Coturnix japonica: one gene and its partners. The protein of the gene in region 2 interacts with the protein of the main gene of each other region in a pairwise test. Links are inferred from orthologs where the notes say so. Each region holds a gene or a part of one and is shown on either strand. Other genes may lie near its edges.

Region 1 (4,024 bases), on a different chromosome or scaffold from region 2:
TGAAGCTGAGATTCGGCACTGTGACTCCTTTTCAGTGATGTTAACAGCTCCTCCTATGAGGAAACAAGAAAAGCCATGACCAGGTGGTCGAACATCATTCATTCCCTAGTAAACCTCCTGGAAGCAATGTACTTACCTCCCACAAGCCCCCTCGCAGCATGCTCTGTTTCTTGGTCTCTTCCTGTCGAACCTGCCTGCTGTCCAGCCAGATCACATCATTGCAGAGCGAAGGCTTCAGGTCCATAGATTGGTACAGACGGTCCCCAACACTATTGAAGATAACAGCTAAGGAACGAGGCAGAATCCCACCATCTTTGATGCTGCCTGAAGAAAGAACAGGAAGCCATGGATTCAACAGAAATACATACATACAGCTACTTCAGATGTCTGCTACCACTTCATACTCCCATTACCCTGAATGGTGTGAGTCTTCCCTGAATTGGTGTTGCCATAAGTGTAAACCAGCCAGTTCTGCCCATTCAGTACATCCTTTACCACCTCTTTCATTGTTTCATCAAAAAACAATTTCTGCCCCACATCTGGTCCAAAGATCTGCAAAAAAACAACACAGAAAACAGCCTTATGTAGATCCTTCCTACTTTTTAGACTGCAGCTGATGGTTCAAATACTGCTTAGTCCTTAATGAAGGCCTCCATCCTCCACCACCACAAACAAACCTACCAGTAACTCCAGCCTGAGAGCCCTATAGAAACAGACCGTTCACTTGCTTAGTCCAGTAACACACAATATTACTACAGTCTTCATCATATTTAAATCTTTATTAACAAAATAAGAGCTTTGCATTTGCTGCTGAGGCTTGCAGAATCTATTTCAAAATAGATAAATCAATAAGGAAGACATCAGAAATGAGTAGAGAGAGTAACACAGCTCATACAGAGTACTGCTATTAGTAGTAAAAAGGCAGCTTTTTAAGTAGTATTGCTGGTTTAAGCTCAAAACCCTCTTAATTGGATTAACTGTTGTCTGTCCCAGTTACCTACCTGAGTAAATGAGAACCTATGTGCTGCTTGTCCCACTCCACGTTCTGTGCTCCGCATGGTGAAGGAGTCTTTGGGGGCTTTTAGAAGAAGGGTCTCTGAACTCTCAATGAAGACACAACCCTGAAAGAAAAAATAAATCACAGTGGCTTACAAGAGGTTATGACATGACAGCAAAGGAAAACTGGTTCTCCCAGTAAAGGACAAACACAAGTGGTTTATCAAGGATCTCACCTGGTCTTCCCCTTTTTCCAGCTCTGTAGGTTTCAGGGGTCGAACTCTCAGATACACCTTCAGTTTCCCATTAACATCTTCAGCAGTAGCCTGCAAAACTTGTACAGGTTAAACACAGCAGCCAGAGTGACAGTACACAGCTATCTGCCAGGCCCAGAGCAATAACAGGAGTCACTGATTGGAAGACACACAGTTACTCCATAATTCAGAAGCACCACCAGAACATCTTTCCATACATTTCCACGTTCACCAACATATCTTTGCCTTGTGTAGTGAAGCAGAACAAGAATCCAAAGACATGACACCAAATCCAGCCCTAGAACTGAGCACTGTGACTTGCAGAATCAAACTCTATAATCCAGAGATGGGTTATAAAGCAGGTATGTTTATCACAGCGTTGTGCAGCGCCGGGTGCAAGGGGGATAGCTCCTCCAAACTTGCACACCGTAAGGAGAAAAGTGTGTTAGATATATAGGTCAAGCTAATACATAATCAATAGCCTCCTCCTCAGTTTGATTACATATTCATTACATTCCCTATGGCCTCATTCCTCACAACCCCATTCCTTCATTCCTCCTGATCCCATTTCCCACAACCTTTGCTGTTATTATGGGGTGAAATTCTTCTTCTGTTTTCTTCTTGGTGTTATCTGCTGTTATTGTTCTCCCATGTCAGCATCATCTTGCCCGGGGGGGGGGGGATCTAATCCTCCTTGTCAGAGGTCTCCGGACAATTTCTTCTTATCTTTATTGCCCTCTTCTCTGGCTTTATTTTGACTAAGTGTCTGTCATTCCCCCTTTTCCTGCATTTTTAAATGTAAACTATCTACATTTACCCTTTGTCTTGGTTTCTGTGAAGTTCCCTTTTCCCTTAGTATAGCAAAGCGTTACCTTGCCTCCATTCTGGGGGCTTTGCTCACTCTTCACTGAGCTAAGGGGCATCCATTAATTGCGCCCTTCATTAGTAGGCTGCAGGTAACAAGAGACTCTTCTTGACCGTGTAGTGGAATTACTTAGCACTGAGCACAGAACACAGCCCTTATGACACACAGTGCGGGTAATAGGGCTCCATCCTCACCTGCTGGCTGCCCTCGAGACCAGGGGAGATAGCAGAGAACTCAGACAGCAGATCCTTGCGCACATCAGCACCGAACCCTGCAGCCGTGGATTCCAACACGGGGGAGGCGGCAGCACCATCATCATCAGAGAACAGCCCCGGGGACAGCAGCGCTCGATCCATGGCGACCCTGAGGGAAGGAACGAGGTGATGGCAGAGCAGCGAGCAGGCCCCAGCAGCACACAGCCCCAACCTTCGCTCTACACACGCACAGCTGCGGACAGGCCGTTACACAGCGCTCGTTCCCCACCCCCCGGGGTCTCTCCTCACCCCCGGGGCCCGTTCCCACCTCTCGGCCCGTTCCAGCCCCCCACAACCGGCCGTTCCCCGTTCCCCGCTCGCACCTCCCGGCTGCGCTGCCGATACTGTTGAGGTTTCAAACCTCGCCGCCCGCTCCCTCCGCCAATAGCAGCCCGCGGCTTCGTGCTCACCAATCAGAAGCCGTGTTCAGACAGGAAGGGCGGGGCTTTGTGCGCTCGGTGCTCCCGGCGGGCTGTGCGCAAAACTCCGCCCCGCCACAGCTCGGCCGAGGGCAAGATGGCGGCGGGAACGGGGAGTGAGTGAGGGGAGAGGGGGAACAGAATCGGTGGGACCGGGGAGGAGGGACGGAGCCGGTCCGCAGGCACGGTGATGGGGCGGGGGAGAGGCCGGGGAGAGGCCTGAGGGGGACCGAGGGAGGCTGAGGGGGGCTGAGGGGAGGGGCGGGGCCGACGGCCGAGCGGGGGTGGGGCCGACGGGTGGGGGGGCGGGGTCAGGTAAAGGGGGCGGGGACAACGGGCTGAGGGGGCGGGGCTTCGCTCCGAGGGGGCGGGGCCAACGGGTGGGGGGCGGGGCTTCGATCCGAGGGGCTCCTGCCGTGGGGTGCTGCATTGTGCTGCACTGCATTGTGCCCGCTGTCCCAACAGAGCACAAGCTGCTGAGCGCCGGCCCCACCGAGCCATGGTCCATCCGAGAGAAGCTCTGCCTCGCCTCGTCCGTCATGCGCAGTGGAGACCAGAACTGGTAAGGGGTGGGCACAGTGAGCTTCGTGTTATGGGTGCTGCGGGTTGGGGTGTTAGGTATGAGTCTGGAAATGGCTCTGCTGCTTCTGGAGTAGTGTGTGAAAAGGGATGTGTATTAATTGGTACGGAGCACAGGTTTGTAGGTTGAGTTATAGTGTGTACTGAGTTGGAGTGGGCACTCAGGGCTCACTGAGTCCAATTGACTCCACACACAGCCATTCAAATTCAGACAGGCAGCATTATCAGACACTTCTTAAACCATAGCAAGCTTGAATAGGAAGAGTTGCATCCAGGTAACACGTGCAAGAGCCATGTTTGCTCTTCCTGTGCTTGGTTTTGCTGCCTATTATCTCCCCACAAAGGGAAGTTTTCATTTAATTTATTAGAATGTGATTTTCAGAGCAAGAAATGGAAGCTCTTGCATTAGGAGTAGGCAGATACTTTTGAGTCTAGAAACCACAGTTGATTAACTCCTCTTAAAAAACTCCATCTTGGTCGATCCATTGTGTTAATGGGGACTGTTCTGTGATGAGAATTAAGACACCTTTTCATAGTGTGTTTGTTGGGGTGGGTTCATTGAGCAGTCATGTGCCATTTCTGCCCTGCAGGGTCTCAGTCAGCAGAGCCATCAAACCCTTTGCAGAGCCAGGCCGCCCACCTGATTGGTTTTCCCAA
Region 2 (4,167 bases):
AATACATTGCCCTTGAGCTTGCAATGTTGCGCAGGGCTCAACAGCCTTAGCAGCACAGGTGACAAGAACCCAGGCTCTGCCAGCCCAGTGACACCTGCTGCACAGAGGGATGGAGGAAAGGCAAGAAAAAGGGATTGTGGTCCCAGGCCTCCTCAAACAGTCCTGGAGGAGGAAAAAAAAACAATACCAATTAAACAGGTGCTAACCTGAGAGTAGGCAAAACAGAACAGCAGCTCTCAGCATCTGCAGCGTGGTTTTGGGGATGCTTGTTCTGGCTCTGTTGGGTCACCTGGAAAGACAAAGGCAAGGTGCAGAGATATGTGTTAAACTCAGCAGATAAATAATCTGCCTCCACAAGACAACTTTCCCAGCACTGTCTGGTCACATTCCAAGCCAAGAAGTTTGACAGCACATGCACAGAGCTGAGAAGCCCTGAGCAACCCAGTACTGTGATGATTCTCTTTGCTCTTTCACCCTTTCTAAGGCTGCCCCTACAACCAGGCTCCTGCCACTGTCACCCCAGTCACCCATGTGAGTCCAGGCTGGTCTCCTCAAAGAGCTAGAGCTGGATTTCAGACAGCACTGCTGCAGTCGAGCACCTTATATCAAGCTTAGTGAGATGCCATGGCTTTATTCCTCTCTACTTCTACAGTTGCACTTTGCTCCACCTCTGTGGGTGCGCAGAAGAAGGTTTGGGAGGAACCAAGATTTCCAAGGAAACTTCTGACTCAAAGAAAAGAGAAAACCATTGAGTTTGTGGGACCAGGTTCGCCGGAGCTTACAGCCACCTGACTCGCTCGGTCAAAGCAGCAAAATGGAAAAACAAAGGAGAAGAGCAGGTCAGAAAAGATGGCTCCAGGGAGCAGAGGGGGCAGGTGCTGCAAACAGGATGGATGGGAAACGTGCAGCTGCTTTACAGGGACCCACACGATCCACCACAGGAAGGGTTGCTGGGTGCAGTGCCAGGTGGAAAGCAATCAGAATCCCCCATAGAAGACTTTAACTGCCAGTCACCCACAGTGACACTCTGTGAGCCATCTGTTAACATACAAATAGTTCCCTTTGGGATTTCACCCACATTGCCCTTCACACCTGTCCAGTTTCAGACTCATTAAGCCCTCCAGCCACTGAAGGATTCAATAACTTCAACACAGTTACGATGACCGCCTTCATGAGAATGCTATTTTTCAAACCAATATGGCTTCACTTTTTCCTTTCTCATCTTCTGTCACACACATAGGTTGACACATCTCATTCTGTACGCAGAGAATCCTTTGGAGCCCCAGACACCATGTAAATCCTCACTGTGTGACAATGCTACCAAACCTCGTGGGAGAAGAGATCAAGCAGCCCACAATGACAAAGGCAGGGAAAGGAATGGGGATGTGTTGGGAGACTTAGAATCACAGAATAGCTTGGGTTGGAAGGGGCCTCAAGGACCAACCTCCTGCTGTGGGCTGGCTGCCCCTACCAGATCAGGCTTCCCAGGGTCCCATCCAACCTGGACTTGAATGTCTCCAGGGATGGTGCACCCACAGGTCCTCTGAACAGCCTGTACCGTTTTGAGCCTTGCAACACTGACTTTCAGGAGTCAAACCAGCAGCCACCCCCTCACAATGCCTTTAGACTCAGGGACAGTGACTAAGCCTGAAAAGAACAGGTCTGGGTGTCCATGCCCTCTGCCAGCAGCACAGCAAGGCTGAGGCTGAGTACAGCAAAGCCTATGAGCTGCCCTTTCTTTCGAGGCCAGCTGAGTTTGGTGGGGGAGCTCCCTCCCCTGTACTCAGGAACAGAGAAGACCTGAAACTGCCAAGGGAATGCGGACTGGGAAAGCTCAGCACGTACTGCAGGGAGCACACATGGCTTGGGCATCGAGATCAGATGAGGGGCTGCCAGGGCAAAGCAACCATCCCACAGGTAAGATTAAAGCTATGCTGAGGAAGAACAGAGCACAGGGAGCTCCCCGGCCCAGCCAGCTGCCAGGTGAACCGTGCTTGAAAGCGCTCCCACAACCCGGCACGGGGCACAGCCAGCAGTTTCCCTTCCCGCAGGAAGCCCTTCTGGCGTGCAGGCTCACAGCAAGAAGCGAAGGGCCGCGAGCCTCGGCCGGGAGCCAGAGGACGCTGAAGCCGCGTTGCAGCCGCAGCGTGACCCAGAGCCCGGCTCCCGCTCGGGGCCCCACGTCCCGGCGCTGCGGAGCTGCCGGGAGGCGCTACCCCCGCCGGGCCCTGCCCGGAGCCGGCACACAGCGGCACTGCGAGACAGCGGGCAGCGGCGCTTCGGGGCGGCCGAGCCCCGCGGGTCCCAACGCCGTTCCGAGGGGCTGAGCCGCCAGCAGCCGCACACACACACACGGGGCCGTTTCCTCCCGGCTCCACCTGCAGCACCCCGTACCCTCGGTGCCTGGCTGCGCTGAGGCCCGGCTGCCCCGTCCCCGCTCGCCCTCCCGAGCAGCAGAGGGCAGCAGGGCGCAAAGAGCCGGGATCAGCCGCGTCCCCCCAGCCGGGCCCTGCAGCGCCGGTGCCACGGAGCCCCGCAGCCACGGCCGCAGGGCGGCTTATAGCGAGGGCCATTGCACTGCAGCCACCCCCGAAGCTTCTGGAACCGACGGGGCGCATTAACCCATTCACCGCCGGGCATCGCCCCCCACCCCCAGTGCTCGGTTCGGTTCGGCCCGTCCCGGCCCGGTTCCAACCCATAATACCGCCCCGCCGGACCCACCAGCGCCCCCTCCTCCTCCTCCTGCTCCGCCGCGGCCCTGAGTGCTGCCGGGCTCCGGCCGCTCCTTCCGGGTGTCCGCCAGGACACGCCCCCTCGGGCCGCCTCTCGCCTCTGATTGGTGCTGAGGGCGGGACTCGGGGACGGCTGGGGTCCGGCGACCAATGAGAGTGCGGGGAGGGGCTGACGGTCAGCCCTGTAGCCCCGCCCCCTGCCCGCCCCCTCCACGTGCGGGTGTGTGATGACAGCGGGGACGGGGCGGGCGCGCACAGCGCGGCTCCTCATTGGCCGCGGGCGGAGGGGGCGGGGCCTGGCGCGGGGCTGGGGGGGGGCGGCCATGGCCGGGAGCCCTCGGCCCGGCGGCAAGTTGAGCTCAGGGCCGGTCACACAGACACAGCGAGTCACAGACTGCAAACTCCATCCTGTCAGAGCCTCCATCCTGTCAGAACCTCCATCCTGTCAGACCTGCCGTGAGCGCTGCCCCACACACCCGGCCTGCAGCCCAACACATCCCCGTCCCCACAGACCCCACAGACACAGCGTGTCCCCTCCATGAGCACAGCCTGTCCCAGTCCCACACTCTCAGCCTCACAGCCCACAGACCCCCATGGACACAGCTTGTCCTGCCCCACAGACACAGCCCCACCAACACAACCCCTCCCAGTCACAATCCCCTGCGTGCTCCACTCCCTATGGACATGCCCCACCTCAGGCCTAACCCCACAGCCACAGCACTGCCCTAATTCCAGCAGATTCAGGGCCATTTAGGGTGTTGTACACAATGAGCACCACCACAGCTGTGTGCTCACAGGTACACGTCTCCTTACTGCTGTTTTGGGGCCTGGCAGAGTGGGTTTGGCCTTCTATCCTCAGCCCTGTGCTCATGGCTGGAAGCTGCTCGGTGTTAACAAATGGTTAATGAGGCGTTATCAGCCCGGAGAACACGAGTGATGTGCTGGTTTGGCCCCTCGGTTGCTGAGAGATGTGGGCTCCTTTGTCCTCTGCAGGAATAATACATCTCTATGTGCTGTGTGGGCAGCGGAGGATTAGCGGTATCCCACGTTATTTACCTCCCATTTAGGAATGCTTAGGGTTTGCAAGCGATGTCCCTGCCAAGCACAGTCTCTTGGCAACCTCCCCTGGTTTGCAGAACATAACTTCAGCTCCAAAAGCAGGATTAAGGAGCAGGACATGAGAGCTCATGCTTGCAGGCTCAGTGGGGTGAGGGTGCCTTTATGTTTAGAATAGGCACATTCCACTTTTTCATTCTCTCCATTTCCCTGCTCGCTCACTGCATCGTGGCTGTTTGTGAGTGGATGGACACGGGACAGCTTTGGACAGTGGCTCAGAGGAGATGTGGAAGCTGTAAGAAGCACTTTCCACCCACGGCACAGCACCATCCCTGGCCATGTCTCTGCTGCCAGCAGGGTGTTTCCCCAGGAAGATGAG
Region 3 (4,066 bases), on a different chromosome or scaffold from region 2:
AGGCAGGCAACGGCTAAAGGATGTTCCTGTGCTTTTCAAACTTTTTGGAAAGAACATTCTGTGTTGGAACTATTTTGCAGTGTCATTAGCTTTTTTGACAGATCAGTTTGGATAATATTTGCTTGCTCTGACTTGTGGGCTTCAAAAGGTACTTGAACAAGAATCGTGCTTTCAGCTTCTTTTTCTTTTTGGAAGTAAAGGCAAAAGGATGATTCACTTTCTGGCCTCATATTTGGACCTAAGTTGTCTTCTCCCTTCCCAATCCACGAAATTAGCAAGCTTGAAAAATCAGCATTAAAAGTGTTTGGCATAAACAAAGCTTATAGTTTGTACAAAGACAGGAGAAAAGAGTTCAATCTAGTTTGTATAGAAGAAATACACAAAGTGAGTGTGTGCGGAGGTTTAATAAACCAGTCAGCTGTGAATAGTGATGATGAATTCTTAGCAGTAACAACCAAATGATCAGTCTTAGTTGCAAGATACTGTTTACACATGGGTAACCACCAGAACTCATTGTCCAGATTTGCCAATTTTGCCAAAATCTTCATGACATATGTTTGAAATGTTCCCTTCTTTCTTTTGTCTGTGGTACGAAGCAGTTCTCTCCCACTTGACGTTATGGAGATGTTAGAAAGTCTTGTGCAAAGTATATGCTCTGTGTGCATCATGTATGTGATGGACTGCCTACAAAAGCTATCTGGTCCCTCTGTCCAATCAACAAGAGATGACTGCAGTATGATGTAGGCCAGAATTGAGGGATGCTGAGAGAGAACCTGGATGGGGCTGTTAACGCTATGGATGGTAATGCCTTACAAGCCATTTCCTGTGTAGTGGAAGCGAGGCAAGTTGTTCCAGCCCAGAAATCGCTTTAGTAGTGTCAGAGGAATTCAGCTCAGTCCCCAGAAGTCTTTCCTTTAATTGGAGAAGTCTTTCTCCTTCCCACCCACCCCCATTTCCTGTACGCAACAGTCATAGGTTAGTAATCACAACTTCTTCCCTTCTCGGAATTACAAGCCCAAGTGAAGTCTTTTGGATTCCTCCTTTGTGGGCCACAGTGTAGCTGGGGACGGATGGTGATCCATCATTTTATTTATTCTTTCTGCTAAAGAGTTTAAGGGTTTTGATTTTTGAGTTTTTAACAGAAGTACCTTTTTGACAACTGTCTGAAATACGTTCCTTTAAGATCCTCCTACACGGTATGTATTTGTGATTTGTAAGTGCACTATGTCAAAAAATGATTCAGTGGTGAGGCAGCGAGCTATTTGCATGTCATGAGGTCTCAGGGAAACAAACTGACCCTCAGCCTTCCATCCAGCCAAATTCTGATGGGACCCTCAAATAGCTCTGGCAAAGTGTTCTGTTTCTTTTGGACTTGATGAATGCTTGTTTCTGTGAAGACGTGTAATTATTTCTTCCTCTATTTTGCTGCAGAACTTACCAGGAGAAGCAGCTTAAAACCAAATGTGAGTATTGAAACTCATTTTCCTTACTCCCTTTATGTGATAGAACTGCGAATTTGAATGGCTACTGCTTCTTTAAATTGTATGCAGAACCTATGCAGATATAAGAAATGTTTGACTTTATGTACCAGAAGAGAAAGCAGACTTTTTCAGATGAAATAGTTTTTGTTTTATGAACTGGCTCGCTCATTAATGTGGGAGAACGTTGCTTGTTGTTTCCTTTGTCATGAGAGGGGGGTTAATTCTGTTTACTCCAAAGAACAAGCCAAGAAAATTGTATATACTGTTTCCTATGACATTTGAATCATTTCTATCTTTTAGCAAACCTTCGTAGCTATTTGCAATCACAAGAAATGTTGCAAAGCAGTGCCTTTTAAAATCAAATTGCAAATGCTTAACGTGGTGCCTGTTAAGTCACAAATATCATCATTGCCTAACATGGAGTGTTCTTGGTTTGTCTTTGAAGTAAAACCAGTTTCCAAGCTGGTGCTTCTATCAATATTTTAACTTGTTGTGGAAGTCATGTAGCATCTCAATATTCTGCATCAGTAAGATGTTTTCTTTTGTATGTCACATTTTTATCATATAACCTTGGTTGGTTTGGAATTTAAAGGAGAAGAGAATCAAAAGGCTGTAACACTGCCTACTGCAAGAGGTAACAAAGGGTAATTTAAAGACTACGTGTATTAATTGTGCTGATACCTGAGTTCACAGTGGCAATCATTTTGATAACAATTAATTTTGGAGGAAACTATCAGACATTATTTCCATTTTGGTCAAAGGAAATGCTGAAAACATTTTTGTCAAAGGTTCTGTTTTTACACCTGGAGCCAGACACAAACTCTCTTATATTTAGAAAACAAGTTTCAGATGCCTTCGTTGTGTTTAATATTTTTCTTCTGTGAACAGCTGCCATTTCTGAAATGCTTTAACAGAACAAGACAGATTTGATCTATTAATGTTACAACAGATCGCTGACGGACTTGCCATACATTTGATTGCAGTATCTCAAAAGTCACTTTGACTCACACTTGTGTAACTGGTAGAAACTTGAGGTGACACACTAACCTTCTTGCAAGATTAGAGCCAAATGAAAGCAAAAGCTGCTTGAAAGATATTCTGATCTATTGTGACCTTTGGTATCTCCAGGTTATTTGCAGGCAAATCACATTTTGTTAAGCGTGTTTGGTTAACTTGGTGAGATGTAAGTTCTTCCATAAAGCAATAAGCCCAGCTTTCTACATGTCTTTTTTTCCGTGCCTGAGTTTTATGTTTAAAACTTTCCATATTGCCTTACCATGAACAGACAGAAGCATGACAATCTTCACCAGAGTGCTTCCTAATGTCTGGGCTAGAATCAGAGGGTGAAATCCTGACTGTGCTGAGATGAGCAGCGCTCCTCTCAGCTTAACAATCTGTGGACTCTGTCAGGCTTTTATGTTGCCTAAAGAGTAAAACTGACCTAAGTTTTTCTGCATGTTTCCCTGTCACTTAAGAGTAAGACGATGTCTTATGTTTAAGTATAGGATGTTTATGAAGATAATGATTTCCAGCTCAGTTTTTCTATTAAAATCTCTAGAGACAAAGTTAGGGAATTGGATTAAGGAAATGCTGCTGGTATTCCATTTGTGGTCCTGCAGTGGAATTATTCTTCTGGGAATCTCCTAGCTTTAGTTAAGAGGCTGTGAGCTTCTCATTTTATATATTTATATTTTCCAATAAAGTGTAAGAGGGATGAAGTAAGGACGATTTTGTAGAAATATGCAGACATTACTCACAAAAACAATGAACCGATATCTAAAAATAAGTTCATAAAACCCCATGACATAAAAAAACCTCATGACATAAAATTCTGTAACAGAGATTATTACAAAGACTAACTTATCTGCATTGGTTGCCTCCATGATAATGACTAAGTTAAATTTCTCACTCTGGAGAGGAATTTTTCTCTCTCCCATAACTATAAAAAGTGCCTTGTGAGTTAGCCTCGATAGGCTTAGGTTAGCTTTTGTAATATCCCCATTTTCCTGAGATTGAACTATGTATATATCAGCTGTTATCCCCTCCTGTTTCCCTTTCTCAAATTAAGAGGGTTTATCTTTTTGTTTTATTTTACTTATTCCATAACAGTGGGTTACTTTCCCTGTCAACCATGGTTGCCTTCGAGTTTGAATTTGTTCTAGGTTCATATATTAGGACTGGTAATTCCTTACACATCTCAACATATTCCAGATAAGGCAGCCTGTTGAGATCCCTTAAGTCATAGCTGGCATGGGAGGCTGAACATCTGGCAAGTTTCATATGGTGCTTTCACCATCCTAGGCCAGTGCTATGACTACACCCTGACAACCAGATTTGCCTCATGGCAAAGCCGTAAAGACTGGCTGCATGCCTTCCCATACCTGCAGGTCTGCTCTATGACCTTGAGCAAGTCTCACCACTGTGTTTTCACTGCATTATCATTAGAAAAGCATTCTGAAGTCTTTGAAAAGAAGACTGAAAAATATCAGAGAGTTAAGTTATTGATCAGAAGCCCGCAGCAGTGTTAGGTAATACATGTATATATGAGGAGTGTTTCTCAAGTGACCTCTGCAGTTCCTAATTCA

What was found.
Region 1: the proteins of FAM214B (region 2) and KIF20A interact in binary tests that used the Homo sapiens proteins (3 or more experiments, as listed by UniProt). The two-hybrid records come from large-scale screens. The link is inferred for Coturnix japonica from reciprocal best matches to the Homo sapiens genes ATOSB and KIF20A.
Region 3: the proteins of FAM214B (region 2) and FHL5 interact in binary tests that used the Homo sapiens proteins (3 or more experiments, as listed by UniProt). The two-hybrid records come from large-scale screens. The link is inferred for Coturnix japonica from reciprocal best matches to the Homo sapiens genes ATOSB and FHL5.

What each region holds. Positions count from the first base shown.
Region 1 is NC_029528.1:11,877,661-11,881,684, forward strand, and holds the start of KIF20A (kinesin-like protein KIF20A), read right to left. Parts: upstream 2,801-4,024; 5' UTR 2,780-2,800; exon of another isoform or gene 2,619-2,779; intron 2,479-2,618; 5' UTR 2,472-2,478; coding exon 2,310-2,471; intron 1,323-2,309; coding exon 1,233-1,322; intron 1,122-1,232; coding exon 1,002-1,121; intron 553-1,001; coding exon 414-552; intron 325-413; coding exon 137-324; intron 54-136; coding exon 1-53. Other genes in the region: BRD8 (bromodomain-containing protein 8), read left to right, coding at 2,886-2,904, 3,254-3,350, 3,958-4,024. UniProt on the Homo sapiens protein: Mitotic kinesin required for chromosome passenger complex (CPC)-mediated cytokinesis. Following phosphorylation by PLK1, involved in recruitment of PLK1 to the central spindle. Interacts with guanosine triphosphate (GTP)-bound forms of RAB6A and RAB6B.
Region 2 is NC_029547.1:7,891,684-7,895,850, forward strand, and holds the start of FAM214B (protein FAM214B), read right to left. Parts: upstream 2,801-4,167; 5' UTR 2,722-2,800; intron 290-2,721; 5' UTR 207-289; intron 1-206. UniProt on the Homo sapiens protein: Transcription regulator that may syncronize transcriptional and translational programs.
Region 3 is NC_029518.1:66,290,340-66,294,405, reverse strand, and holds the start of FHL5 (four and a half LIM domains protein 5), read left to right. Parts: upstream 1-1,266; 5' UTR 1,267-1,379; coding exon 1,380-1,463; intron 1,464-4,066. UniProt on the Homo sapiens protein: May be involved in the regulation of spermatogenesis. Stimulates CREM transcriptional activity in a phosphorylation-independent manner.